Drosophila melanogaster: one gene and its partner. The protein of the gene in region 1 interacts with the protein of each later gene in a pairwise test. Each region holds a gene or a part of one and is shown on either strand. Other genes may lie near its edges.

Region 1 (11,071 bases):
CCATACCGTTTAAATTTAATGTGCCAACTAATTTTCGAATGATTAAGCTAGTCTCAATTCATTTTTATATACTATATAAATATACTATTATAGATATAATATATTTTGTCAGTCTATTTTTAAATAATACAACTTTCAACAAAAGATCACTGAAAATTCAATTAGCAATTATCAGCTACTATGCCCCATTTACCTTCGTGTAGGTATAGTTTTTGGCATGCAGATCCTTGGTTTTCTTGGAGAGATTCCTCAAAGTGGCTCCCGTGCAGGCGCATAGATACTTTAAACTGGCCACCACCTTTCGCTCCGCATTGAGTACCGCGGATGAGACATCCAAGTCGTCATAGGAGTGATACGAACTGTTCCTGCGCGGCTTGGCAGATGCGGATCTAGATCGCCGCTGCTTGGCTTCCTGGTGCTTTTGACACAAATGCGTTGGCTCCACCGGGGTCATGGACTTTTTCCGCTGTCTTGGACAGGTGTGATGGTGATAGTGCCTCTTGGAATCCTTTGCATCCTGCTGCTGCTGCTGCTGCTGCCGCTGCTGGTGGTAGGCGCAGGATTGGCTGGTGGTGTTGTTGTTCACCTGCCGCCAGGCATTGCTAAAGTCCGTGTTATCCAGCGGAGGCATCAGGGCGCGATTATATCCTGTCAGATCCTGCAGCTGATAGGCGCAGGTGTGACTCTTGATCAGAGCGGGCTTCTGCTGGTGCTTTTGGCTATGCGGGCATTTGCAGTTGGCGCGACTTGTGAAATTCTGTAGATTTAAGTTGTTGGGTTTGGTTGGATTTCATTTTTTAATATTATTTTTGGGGGGCGGTGTTAAACTCTGAAGAGTTTGCTTTGTACTTGATCTTGGTCTCGGGCTGTGGTTCATTGATTGACTGCAACCCTCAACCCACTTGAGCTGTCTTCTCAGTTCGTTCACAGAGCCCCTGACCTTGGCTACGATTTGACTCCAAAGGCACACACGACCACAATCGAGTGGATTGTTCAGCTGTTTGATGTTTATGAGCTACTCAACCCAAAAAAAAAAACAAAAAAAACTACAAAAATACCCAAAAATAGAAAAAAAAACAATACACCAAACAAACATACAAACGAAAAGTGTATCTTTGACAAGCGACTTTGTACTTCAAGTGGCGCTCACTACTCACTCATCCGCACCATATTTGGTTAATGGGAAGTCTTTACCCCGCGAATCCCCTATCCCCTGGGGCAGATTTACAGGCAATCTTTGTTTAACCATTTCATATTATATTAGGCGCGTTGTTCATCCCGGCCTATAATCGTAAACAACATCCCAAGTACGACGATTCCGGCCTCCCAATCGGGATGTGTTCAACTTTTACCAGGAAGTTATTACAGCCAACTAGTTTGTTTTCGTTGTTTTCGGGCCATAGTATTTCACGGCTATTGACAGCTGCGCACAGGTTTCGCCAAGGAAATATATTCATCCGAAAATACTCTAGCAATGGATAGGAAAGGAACAGGAAAAGTTTCGAACAATAAACAGGCATTTTTAAAAATCAAGTTCAACACAAAAGTCTTCTAATCATATTTAATAATGTGCTTCTTCCACAACAAATAATATTATTATTAGCTGCATCTTATTTACATTCAAATAATAGGCTAAACTTGAATATTCGCTCATAAAAAAAAGAAAAAATAATATTTTCAATACATTTTATATATTTTTGCTTATAAGAATGATTGTTTAATTATTATCTTTTCTTGAAGAGCATTTCCGCTTCGTTCAATTCCAAAGAAAGCTCCACAATATTTGCCTAGATAAATATTTTCATGCCTGTGGTGTGGAAACTGCGTTGCGCTTTCCTTTTCTCCATCGGTTTTATGGTTTTTACCTCGCCAGAGATGAACTGGCCCAGCCCATTTCATGTAGAGCTTAGCCATAAATTTAGGCCAACACCGACCATTTTGCAATTTTGCTCAATTACAGCCCGTACCGGCTCCATTGCCAATTACATAACTCGTTTCTGGCCAAATTCGTGCGAAGAGAAATGTCATTTGGTCGGTAGGTCTTTAAGCCATCTCTCTCTTGACAACGAAAAGACAAAAACAAATTATTCCAGAGGGGTCAGCGAAGTGGTCGTGCGTGAGGCAAGGGGAAAAAGGTCGGTTCCAGAGGTCCCGAATCTGGAACGTGCCTCGCGTGGCCAAGAGCAACCAGATTATACATATATGATGCCTTGAAATTAAATAAGCGATAAATGCATCGAAGACCAAACCATCAAATACGCATCACGAAAATTAAATCGAGCACAATCAAATACTCCAAATATATTCGAATACCGACCGATAATTGAGGCACGTTCGCCTGGCATGCGTCATTCGGTGGAGAAGGACTAGGATTTTCTTACCCCCAATTAAAGCTCCATAGTCGAGCATGAATAATGCCCATCTGGGTTACGGATACAAATTTATTGGTCGAATTAGTTTTGTGCAATGAACCATAGTCATATGCAAATTTATACTATAAAAAGCAATTATATATCATAAGATCAAGAAATAAAAAATTTTTATTTAAAATACTGTTTGAGCTAAAACTACCAATTGTGAGACTAATTTTAAATGCCTCATTTAATTTGCTTAAATACTCCAAACAATAGAAAAATTTCTAATTCGAAATTTCCCAGCTTAACAATTAAGCTTGAACAGAACTTAGTAATGATTAGCCAGAATATTGCATATTATTTATGATGTAATATTTAGTTAGCACTGCGCTGCTGGCGATAAGAAATATGCTTGCTTATTTCGCAAATATAAGAAAGCTTCTCCAAGTTACACTTTGAACCGAAAACTGATTAGAATAAATCCTTCAAAGCTCCAGGCCAAACAACCCAGACCCATATATGTATGTATGTACATATTCATATATGTTTGTAAATATGCGCAATGCGCATACTTATAGAAATCTTTTTGTTTGAGATTCCTTCGTCTAATCAATATGCACATATATGTATTGCATTCGATTCGTACCAAGCCCCAGAACCTAAATACACTCATTTCATTCACGATTATTATTACAGCGAATGCCAAACGAGACCGAATGAAACAGAACACAACTCGGCGAGGAAATGACGATTTGCATACGGTTGATATTTTACCTTTTGAGTTCGAATGATTCATCAGAAAATACCCAGCCCGTGCAAAAAAAACTGCGGCAGAAATAAAGCTCATTAAGTAATGAAATAATATAGTATTATAATGCCAGACGACGGGCAATTGTCAAACATATTCGTGTTTGTGTATACAAGGCACCCAATTATAAAGAAATAACATCCAAGTATGAGGGGGCGCCTGATTGGTCGGCCCACATCATCATCTGTCTATATATAAAGCAGGTGACCTTTCCTCCAGAAAAGCGTGTGGGTGGCGTTTTCTGCTTTTCCGCCCAGGGGGGGTTTCTCTCAATTACAGATCTTCGCAAAAATAGCCAGAAACCAAAACAAAGGAGAGTCGAACCGCAACATCAAAGCGAAATGGTACTGCATTTGCATTTGGGGTGAATTTATCAACAAACAGCCATACAGCTGAGGTCACAATATTGATAGATTAAAAGTGAAAATACATCTAAGGAAATGGATCAATATTTAAATGATGAAACATGACTCTGAGATAGTAAAATAGTATTCCGTTTGAGATATTCGATTTATAGGTAAAAGTATTGCAATTTGTATCGATGTAAAAACAGTTCTTTGAGAATTTCCTAGTTCTTGGCGGCAATAGATTAGGTGTCCGAAATAAGCAATACATTTCGCTTGTCTTGAAAAATGAAAAGGCATTTATTTTGACCGCAATTGTAGACACAAATCTCTATTTTTAAATCGACGACCCCTGGCACGAGTTTTGTGAATTGCAGCAACAGAAGCAGCGGCAAAAAAAAAACAACGCAAAACAAAATTGAAAACGCCAAGGGAAAAAAACGACTGAAACTAAACACCAGTCTCTCCCCCTTCCCTCTGTCATCCCTGAATGACTGACTGACTAAATGACTGACTGGCTAAATGACTCTGACTGACTGTCAGTTACATGCGACTGCATCCGACGCAGTCAACTTGACAACATTTGCTGCTCCCTCGGTGCACATAAAAAAAAATGAAGGGAATTATGATCAAATTTAATTGCATCGGCCTACTAACACAGGTCCATCAAGATTTTACATCGTTTGTGTTTATGAGAAATAATAGAACAGGCATTACTTGGCATTCGATATTCTATCCCTAATGTCTCCTTTTCGCTATATTACAACATAACGAATATCAACCGATGCCACATCCTGTTGCAATTTTTAATTTCAAAAACCATAATTCATATCCGAATAAAACTTTTATTTAACGTGTATATGTACATATGTATCTGTCTCTACTGCAGAGCAGCTGTCCCGCTCTTTCGGCTATTATCAAACCACATCCGTTGGGCAGCAGCAGAGATGATGTGCAAACAATACAAAAACATATCAACCTAAGCTAAAGTTTGAGCCACTGAGCATAGCTCCCCACGTAAATTATTTTTTTTATGCATTCCCCCATCATTCGCCAGTGGGTAAAGGAAGTGGGGGGCGGAGCTTTTGTTTTGCATACAATGGGAGCTGATAAATGATTTCTAGGGGCACTCCGCATAAATGGATGATAAAGAAACGAAAATATAACTGGGACTGCAACTGAAATGATCTCAAACTGATTCACCTTTAAATTCATAGCTTTAATTCGTTATCTTTCACCTGCGAAACAAATTATATACATCACTTAAGAATACCCTACACCATTTGTTCCCAAGCATAAGTATACCAATTTTGAATGCTTTTTAATTAGCATATAAATTCTCGAAACTCCCAAAACAAAGCTTCTCCAAGCTTGGCAGTTCCCATATGATTCATTTATAACTTGTAAAAAATTCCCGACTTTTATCGATTCCTATTCCTTCCCCACCAAAAGAAGGTGTTTTATTTCTGGACTCCACTTAGGCGTAAAGTTTCCATACCATTGCATTTTTGCCCATAATCATTGTTGACATTTCCTTGTGAATCGACACCAAGACACTACAGTAATCCCTCTCCACACAAAACCAGATCAAGTACACAGCAACTAGTTTTCAGGGTTGAAAATTCTCGGACAAAAAAAGGTGCGCATTATCGATAATTATCCATGTCGTTGATTTAAGGGCGAGGGTCAATAGTAATAAAATTCAAGCCATTAATGTTTTTATCTTATCAGGAGTTTGTTACCGATGTATTGCTTATTGCAGAAATATGATGTACTTGTTTTAAATATATTGTTAAAAAAAAACATTTCAATGTATCAACGTTCGAGTGACCACTGTAAGGGCAGGATAAGAACCAATAGATCTAAAGTGCGCTCCTTTCTAATCCGGCCTGATGGATTGCGTTGTTTTTTTTTACCATTTGAGATTGGCTTTTGTTCCTTGAGAAATGTTGCTGAGATTTCCACGGATGCACTGCTTGGGTTTTCCTATCCGTTATCCTCTTCTCGTCGGTTCGCTTTAATTTACACGTCTCCTTTAATGGCTTCTGGTGTTTTATTTTTACACCCAAGTGCAGTTCAATGGGTGGTGGGGGTGTTGTATAAGTAAAAGGCAAGTAAAATCGATATTCCTGCTGCTCTTTTTTTGTACTGGGCTTCTGTGTTCTGGCCGCTATACCGTTGTTCAGCTTCCTGGGAACGATGAGTCAACGGGACATAGAGAAACACACCCAGTAGCAGTAGAGGTGGGGGGGTTAATATTGGTATTTGTTCTCCGGTTAGTGGTAAGTGGTGAATCCTTGGTCCGCGAAGAAGGGTTCGTTGCACTACGTCTATGCGTCTGCCTGGCAATCTCCTCTTTGCTCTCGTGCTTTAGCACGTCTTCCCTACTATTTATTTGTTTTCACTTTTATCTCTTTTCCTTTTGCTAATGCTGCACTCGCACACACGTAAACGGCAATTTTCGGGATACCGCTTGCATTTTCATTCGCTTGGCTGAAAATCTCAACATGAGATATCCATGTTATTACAAAAACATTATACAAAATTCACATTCGGGGGTTTCTCTACTTGGAAAAGGGGAGCGTAGGGGGCGCAGAGCGTAAAACGCGCGCGAGACACACACACAAAGCTCTCGGTAGAGAGACACGCGACGCAACCGCCGCCAACAACAGTCGAAGACGAACTCTGCCCGCTTAGAACAAACGACCGCCCGAAACCCCATCGTCTGTATCCAACTCTCGCTTACTCTCTCCCACACGCTCTCTCTGTCGGGGATCCACTCTCTGTCATTAAGAACGCAAGCATTTTCGGGGGATGTTCTTACTCGACGGATGTAACTGTAGCATCCCCGTTCTCTCAATTGCACTCTCTCGTTCGCTTTTCTCAGGTACTCAAGTTTTCGACCGTGGGAACTTCTAGCAAAACACCCACTATGGTTTTACACCTTGCGTGAAGGTATATTGGTTGCATCGAACAAGTTCAAAAACACAGTTAACATTAACAATGCATTCCAATATTGGTTCCGAATTTAAAACACCTACATATTCTCACAATTTATAGTCAATAAACTTAAAATAGAACTTTTTCCAGATAAACTGTCAATTTACCATTGAATTGGTAATTGATTTTATTTCTTTTGCACTATGGTAACTTGGCCTTTTAAATCAATTTAAACAAATTTCTTTAAAACTTCTTCCTAGTGACTGTTGACACGCTAAATATAAATAAATAAGTTTCTTAAAATAAATACACGGTATATATATGTCGTATCAGAACAAACATAAAAATCTTACTTGCTCTGGCCATTCGCGCTCTGTTTATGTTTTTTCTGATGAGCAATTGACTGTTGGCTTGTTTGTTTCTAATCAGAACTCTCTCTCAACTCTCTCTGTCAATTTTAGTATTTTTTGGTATATATTTACACTGACCCCCACAATAGCATTTGTCTTCATTATAGCTTCACATTTATCAATGGAATTTATGGGCCTCCTAAACCTGTAGGATTTTATTCCAAATTTTTGATTAATGCCAACAAAGAAATTTAAATAATTTTCTTCCATGTTTTGTTTGGCTTTTTAGGCTATCATTTGACCAACCGTTCAAACATGTGAACTGGAATGACATAATTATGGAAATGGGAATACCTGAGTGTTGTCTGGTATTTGGTAACGATTTAAAGAAAGCTGGCGGGGAAATCAATAAGCAGAAATATTAATAAAACGTGCATTTACGTAAGCGCCAATCAAACGATGCCTGCTGTTTTGTTTGTTGCTTGTAGACATTGGATAAATATTCGAGACCATGAGCACGTCAATTGATCAATTAGCGAATGCAACAAGTTTCAATACAAAAAAAGGCACTGATATTTGTTATGCACTTGGTGATGCTGATAACGAATTTTATATAAAGCTAGAAAAAGAGATCAATTAAAGATTGACCCTCAATGTGCTTCATGATGTTGGTGTCAAAATAATACGGTTTAAAGCTATAGTAAATTTATTTAAAATTATTGCTGTTCTCCCTATCAGAAAGTATGGAGAATAATATTTTAAAACGTAAACGTCATAATATATATTTAGATGAAAAATGTTGTGCTCCAAAACTTTAGTCATACGAAAAAACCGCTCTTGTGTTGTGATCGTGATAATAAATATCACAAAAATTATAAATTAAATTATAAATTATAAATTTCTTTAATTCGATTTTTCGGCACCACTCTAATCAAAATGTTGCAACATATTTTTCATTAACTTAGTCTACGGACTATTTGACCAAATAATTAGCAGACCTGGGCAAAAAGCCTCCACACAAAGTTCGGTGCTCTGCGAGATACTTTCAAAATGACTTTCTATGCATTTCCCTGTTACTTTCTACGCTTGCTATATACTAGAGTACATGAACAAGATAATGGTTTAGCTACTCACCAAACTGTCGGCCACATTTTGACTCATTATAGTCTGCAGCGTTGACGATGGCCAGATGCTGCAATTACTTCAAGGTGCGTGCTGCTCAAAATCTGGTGCGATGCAATTTCCGATGGTGGTGTTGTAGATGCTGATGATAATTGTGATGATGACTGGTATCTGTCGGATACGCGCATTTTGGCTTGGCACAGCTAACGACGAACAATGACTCGAAAGCACACACTCTTTGGGCGGACACGTGTAACGCGTTTACTTATTTATTTTCATTTGGGTTGTGCAATTCACTCGGCCAAGCGGATGTATCTGCAAGATACGCGACCAAACTTGCAATCGGATCGACACAAATTTCAAGTTTTCTTTTCCATTTCGTTACCAAACTGCAAGAAAGCGACAAAGCATTCGGGTGAAAACCATTTCAACTCAATGGAAAGTGCGACAGTAGCAGTAGCCCGTAAATGAAACGGTCAATAAAAGTTGAAAAAAATATACGAAGTTATAAAAAATGAACCACAACCGAACGCGCACACATTGTTGGCATTCCAGAGGCTTAGAAGCCAAGACCGCGGAGACCAAGCGCCATCGAACGCCCAGCAACAACTAACCCGCAAAGTCACTGGAATAATATGAATGCGGTTTGAACGTGGCGCGCAACTGATTTACGATATTCGCTACGGAGCTACAGTGGGACGGGTTTCGAGTGTTTCGGAAAAATCTAATTTTCCGTATTGTATGGCTGCGTTCAAATATGGTGATTTAAGGCCCAACAAATTTATGAATTTTATAATACTAAGCGAAAAACAAAAAAAAACACTATAATGAACTTTAAAAATCTATTACGAAAAATAATTACTCATGTCAAATGTGCTCCTCATGAAGTTCTGCTAATTTCACTGTGCCAATCTACAAAAAAAGACAGCAACTGTGGAGTTGACAGCACCTAATGATGGATTTCTTTTTTACGACTCGTAATCGCAGTTACCCCTTTTTGCTGCGGGGAAAGAGTTGGTCGAAAGATAGCGGCTCGACTCGAATTATTTAGCTAACGCAAAACAAAAACATTAATGAAAGTTTTTTTCAGCACAGCCGTTGTTTTTGCTAGTTTATGCTTCTACCTGTTCGCATTGGATCGCTGACTTGGTATGTATGTACATATGTGTTCTGAATAGTTCCCGCAGACAAACATCTACATGAAAAAATGCGGAAAATGTTTGGTCAGACAATACCTGGCCCAAAGAAAAGAAAACAAACGAAGAACAGGTAGACGAATATCGTCAACACTAAGAGGCTTGCCAAACGCACAGGGAGAATCGGAGAAAGATACAAAATCTGAGAGATTCACATTCAGAGAACGCAGAACCGATCAGATGTTTAATGTTTCCATGTTTAAAAGAGAGAACGAACCTTTAAATCAAGCGAATATCGTAGGCATGGGTTAGATTTGTACCCTCAAAAACCATTAAGAAGAAAATATTCATTATATTTGACTGATGAAAAACTATTTTATATGCGATTTCAACGGGATATTTGTTTCCAACTGGCTCAAAAATGATGTGCATTAGGGTCGCATATTAATATGCTCAATTAAAAAATGTTAATAACTTTTTCAAATAGAGCTAAAGACTCACATTTCAGTGTCATTAGGGGCAAGTCTGTTTGGCCAAACACAAACAAAACTTGAAAAATCATCAACCTTGATTACCTTGAGCTCTGAGTGAACCTTCTTAAAGCTCCATAACAACAAGAAGATGATGAGTTGCACAGAGAAAAATACGTAGGTCATTGTTTCTCATTTTTAATGAGTCAAAAAAAGTTCGAAAAATGTAGATATATATATTATTTCAAGTAGGCGTAAGATAAACTTGTTTCTTGTATTTAAAAAAAAAAGTTACACTTTTTAAGAAACTTTTTTCTTCATGTGCGGCTTTACTGCCAAGCTAAGCTCTTAATTATAAGTTGCTCCCCTCTATTGCCATATCCCTATACACGTCTTTTTCCCCCTTAGTATGTTCTTAGAACCAGAAGACATCATCAATTCATTAGCAATTTAAATTTTAAACAAAAGTTAAAACAAGCTGCTCGACGTCAGCGTTTCGCTCTTTACTCTCTTCCAATTTTGCCGTTCTGTCAGCTTGGCGAGCTTTTTGCGAAATTGGTTACTGTTTTTTATTTCGCGTTTCGCCTTTTTGTTTCTTACACCTCCACACAGCTGAGCTGGGGGATCCATAAACGATATAAAAATATTTATGTATGTTCCAGACCCAGTGATATATGGGCTATATTGGGTTGTTGTTGCTGGGCTTTATTGACAAATGGAAATTCTGAATCGGTGGCTTATTTACTCGACGACCACTGTATTTTTGGCCTGGCCTAAACTGAATTAACCCACTCTCTTTCTCTGCTACTCTCATTCGCTCTCCCTTTTGCGATTGCAATCATGATCTCACTCGGTTGTAGTTCTCAGTGTTTTTTTGCCTTACGATATCAAATTGCTTTATTAGCCAAAAATAAAAGGCCAAAGTCGTTTTTAATTCGTCGTTTTTGTTGTTCTGTTTTCCTATTTTTGTTCGATACCATTTCTGTGATTTCGTCTTTGTCACTTTAACACTCGTTTCGAACGTGTTTTTCGGCGGTAACACGCAAGCAGTTCTAAAAAATGGGTAGCTTTTGATATCAATTTATCTTCAGATCAATTTGGCATGTTTCTAGACTTTATTATGTCGTTTAGTTAGAGGAAAATTCCGTTATTAAAAAATGATCTGTCATTTTTTCAAGCAATGTATTCGTTTTACTTTTTTAGTTTGTTTTTTTTTTTTATTTTATTTCTGGCTATTTAATTGTTGATTCGTGATCTTGGTATATATGTATTTATTTTTTGGTCGTTGCTTTTCAGACTTTTACTTTACTTTAATATTGGTTAACATCCATTTGGCGGTGTTTCTCCGACAACTTCACAATTTTCTAGTTAATTTTATAAACTTTTTTGTTGACTATCTCCTGGGCCAACAACTCAAAAAAAAAAACACGTTGCAATTGGCAACTGGTTTACAGCTATGCAACGGCAAGCACACACACTCGCGGCTATATCTTTATGTACACACACTTGCCAGCGTCTAGGTAGACACAAACACGAGAGCAAACAAA
Region 2 (4,585 bases), 9.8 Mb from region 1:
TATCCTCTATGCAATCCTCCATGATGTCCTTGATCACCGGTGTCCAGCGGGACATCTGGTAGGTGCTTTCTGTGGTGCGCTCCTTGCGCGGCACCGAGTACTGCTTCTTGCGCGAATCTGCAATGACATTGATGCCCAAGCAACTAAGGTTACGCACCATATCCTGATCCTTCGGCGACAGCTGGGCATGCGTAAACAGCTTGGTCAGGTTCTCCTCGGAAATTCCGTTCTTGATCATGACGTACAGGGCAATGATGCGAACCTTGTCGTAGTTCGAGACATTGGCGTCCAGCAAGATGGGCACAATGTTGCGCATATGATCCTTGATCTTTTCGCCCTCGGCGTCCGTGCCCATGGCCAGATCCTGTTCCACGCGGCACAGCTTGTCCACGTAGTTCTGGTACGACTTCATGCAGTCCTCGGCCAAATGCAAGTGGGTGGAGTACTTGGACAGCTCCTTCTGGTACTGCGGCATCTTCTTGATCATCTGCGAGAGATCGCGCATCGACGACTTGTCAGCCGAGCCCATGCGCTTAGAGTCGGTGAATTTCTTAAGGTTCTGAGTCACCTGGGTGGAGACCACAGCGATATGCTCGTGACGCAGCTCCACCCACAAGTCGTCGTTCTCGTCGAGCAGCACCTCCTTATCCGGCTGGTTGGGGCCGGGCGTGTAGCGATACACGTCATTGACGATGGGTAGCAAATCGTAGGCCATGGCCTGCAGGGTGAGCTCGTGCAGCAGCGGCGACACGCAGTCGAAGCCGCGATCCAGGATCAGCAGCTGGGATCGTGCCTTCTCGGGGCCCTCGCCCATGGTGGCATCGTCGGCCTTGTAGGCGTCCAGCTTCTGCTGCACCGACGCGGCCAAATCGATGTTCCTGTCCCAGTCGCTGCGGTAGCGCACATTTGGGTACTCCCCAAGGGTAGCGCACAGTGTGGCTATTTGCTCGGCAATTCGCTCGATGTGCTTGCTCCGAATGGAGGCAAAGGCCGGCGAGTAGAGGCATTGGAATGTGTCCGGCGAGTCCAGCGAGAACACCTGGCATTCGTATGGCAAAAATGCAATGTTGATCTCCTTCAGCGTCTTGATCTTTCCGGCCGCGCACGACTTGCACAGATCGTTGAATAGCTCCTCGGGACAAACTTCGGTGAAGAAGACATGGGCATAGCGATACATGGGCCGCGCTGGGTTCTCGAAGTCTCGTATCAGACCGCGCACTGACTCATCCGACGGCGTAATCAGATAGATCGCGTCCATCGTGGGCAGCGGCTCGCGCTTCTTGTTGATGTCCTCAACCAGGGTGATGCCCTCGGCGCTGATTTCGTGCATCTTGGTGCAGGCGGACACCATGCGCATACCCAGCTTGTCCACCACCAGCACCCGCCATTCCATGCCGCCCGCCCCCGCAGCGGACGTAACGCCCTGCTTTTTGGGTGGTGGAGGCTTGTACTTCACCACCTCGTTCATCAGCTTTTGGCCCACCAGCACTTTCAAGGCCATTTTCACTGCGTTTTATTGGTCACGGGCGCAAAGGCAACTCGATTATGAACACACTGCGTGTAAATATGTCTTTTTAGCTTATTCCGTTCGCTTTTTCGCGTGGGCTAACTTGACTTAAAGAATTTTATCTATTCCTTGGCCAATTTTTCTGTATTTTTTTCGTTTGATGACTTAGCCTTAGTGATGGGCGAAAGTCGATTGCTGGCTAGCGATAGTTGATATCGATATTACTGTCTAGCAGAGACGCGCACCCGTCTCAGTGCGAGTGTGGATTTCTCAGTTAACCGAGAACGGTCACGCTGCTGCTGTCGAGGAAGGAAAATAAAATAATTTTGCTGGCCAACTGGTCGATTTAAACGGGGAAATGCAGATGCAAACGTACAAACTGGTGGTCGTCGGCGGCGGCGGCGTGGGCAAGTCAGCGATAACGATACAGTTCATCCAGGTAAGCCGCCCAGCATCGGCCCAATCCCTGGTGACGTCGCTTTCCACAGGGGCGTTTGAATGTGGGAGTGGGGGGCGATGGCGCACAGGGGCGGTGGCAGGGGGACGGCCCTTGTTTTGGCCAGAGCAACAAACAAGCAACAAGCGACTGTGATGTGCGTCTGTGTTTGGACATGCGTGTGCATAGTTTCGGGCCGAGATCATCACCAACACAATCATCATCATCATCATCATTGGCAGCATCATCATCGCGGTGGCCACACCCCCGTGTGTATCTCCAATTGGGGATCAAGTGGTCAGAGCCCAGAACCAGGGAGTTGCGTTAGACGCAGCCCCCAGTTTTCTGGGTGTGCCGATCGATTCCCCGAGAGTTTGTGCCATGGTCACGACCACAATGACCGCCCGCTTCCATTTATTTTTAGTCATTTGCGTCATCTGCACATCTTTCGTGTATATGCTGTAGCTTTTCCCCAAGATATATAGAGCATAGTGGATAGTGAATGATAAAAGTGACGTGTGTAAACAAATCAAAGGCGGAATGATAAACGCACCCCGCCCACATAAAAAACCCAGTCTTATAATGTTTATATATGTAGTTTTGTGGCCTCGGCAGCTGGCGGTACAATAATTTTAATCCTAATCTTGCAGAGCTACTTCGTCACGGACTACGATCCCACCATTGAAGACTCGTACACGAAGCAGTGCAACATCGACGATGTGCCAGCCAAATTGGACAGTAAGCTTCCTTTCTTTACCCTTACCAGATTCATAATAACCTGATATTTTACCTAGTTTTGGACACGGCTGGCCAGGAGGAGTTCAGTGCCATGCGGGAGCAGTACATGCGCTCCGGCGAGGGATTCCTGCTCGTCTTCGCGCTCAACGATCATTCCAGCTTCGATGAGATCCCCAAGTTCCAGCGCCAGATACTGCGCGTCAAGGATCGCGACGAGTTCCCCATGCTGATGGTGGGTAACAAGTGCGACCTGAAGCACCAGCAGCAGGTGTCCCTGGAGGAGGCGCAGAACACCAGCCGCAACCTGATGATCCCCTACATCGAGTGCAGTGCCAAACTGAGGGTCAACGTCGATCAGGCCTTCCACGAGCTCGTGAGGATCGTGCGCAAGTTCCAGATCGCCGAGCGTCCCTTCATCGAGCAGGATTACAAGAAGAAGGGCAAGAGGAAGTGCTGCCTGATGTAGAAGGAACTAAATGGAAGAGAATCTCCTGAATGCCGCAGCGGAAGCAGGAGCCAACATATAATGATTATAACACCAAATTTTTTGAAAAACACGCGTCGACTGAGCTTTGAATTCCGTTGAGAAGACGATAAACCAGTAACCCGAAACCAGTAACCGCACAAAACGTGTCAACGAGCCCAAACGAAGTGCATTTCTTACCTGCCCAGGTGCATGGCGCATTCAACGAACGAATCGAATAAACTTCGCCACTCTCAAATAGCTACGAAGAATCTTACAACTGACAACTAACAATGCAAAATGCAAACAGAAACACGAAACATAGGTAGATATATACAACAGATTCACACGAATAACTTATATATACATATATATTTCTACATATATTTTTGTAATATTATTTTGTTGATCAACGACAACAATTAAGGACGAATGTTTTCATGATTATTACCAATCGTGGCTCGCAGGCCATTTGTTTTTATAATGCAATAACTAAGCCCAGAACGTTTGTTTCGATTAAGCCAAAACGTAATAATGTGTTATTGTAATTTGTATTGTTATTTACTACTAATATATACGTATACATATATTAACTGCTTACAAACCGATTTTGTTGTAACAAATTGAGTGCCTCGTTCTCGCGCGTAGAAATCTAAAACATCAAACTCTGTATTACACCCACGGCATTTTTGTACTATACCCGCAGCTGCCAGGCGCGCACAACTCACTTAACGATACTTTTGTACATGTCCCCAGTCGGATCCGGATCCTATGGTTTATTGTTCGCCAAATGTATTGCAACAGTTGCTTTAGCCGCAATCTTGTTTTAACTCTTATACACTGCTTAATTTAACGAACTTATTTAATGGTATATAAATAAATATATAATTAAATTTAAAATTAAACATATGCGCAATTCTAATAAACACATGGAGAATCACAAACGCTTCCACATAGAAGATTGTTTCAATGACGCTCTCGACTGGAATTGAAAATTCCGACCCAATCCAAGCAATTATAGAAAGAATCCTTGCTAGTGCTGTGTTAATTACTTACCAGCTGTCTTCCCTTCGAGCTCAATGGGTATAAAAGCGGGCTGAATCGAAGTGGACCAGCATAGAACTCAGAATGAATCCCAAGAGCGAAGTCCTCATTGCAGCCGTGCTCTTCATGCTGCTGGCCTGCGTCCAGTGTCAAGTGAGTGAATTCATATCCCGCTGCAGGATATCCCTTTCTGATGTCTCATTTTATTTTCCTCTATATAGTTGACCTTCTCGCCGGATTGGGGCAAGCGTTCGGTGGGCGGAGCTGGTCCTGGAACCTTTTTCGAGACACAGCAGGGCAACTGCAAGACCTCCAACGAAATGCTGCTCGAGATCTTCCGCTTCGTGCAATCTCAGGCACAGCTCTTTCTGGACTGCAAGCACCGCGAGTAGATAGC

Evidence for each region.
Region 2: the proteins of Rgl (region 1) and Ras64B interact in a two-hybrid assay, tested with the Drosophila melanogaster proteins (one study listed by BioGRID).

Annotation. Positions count from the first base shown.
Region 1 is NT_037436.4:13,913,769-13,924,839, forward strand, and holds the start of Rgl (Ral guanine nucleotide dissociation stimulator-like), read right to left. Parts: upstream 6,198-11,071; 5' UTR 5,426-6,197; coding exon 5,423-5,425; intron 758-5,422; coding exon 194-757; intron 1-193.
Region 2 is NT_037436.4:4,137,314-4,141,898, forward strand, and holds Ras64B (Ras oncogene at 64B), read left to right. Parts: upstream 1-1,762; 5' UTR 1,763-1,865; coding exon 1,866-1,946; intron 1,947-2,593; coding exon 2,594-2,681; intron 2,682-2,737; coding exon 2,738-3,147; 3' UTR 3,148-4,085; downstream 4,086-4,585. Other genes in the region: Rop (Ras opposite), read right to left, coding at 1-1,501; Akh (adipokinetic hormone), read left to right, coding at 4,273-4,341, 4,410-4,580. UniProt on the Drosophila melanogaster protein: May be involved in endocytic processes and/or other transport pathways mediated by vesicle trafficking. May interact functionally with ROP protein. Ras proteins bind GDP/GTP and possess intrinsic GTPase activity.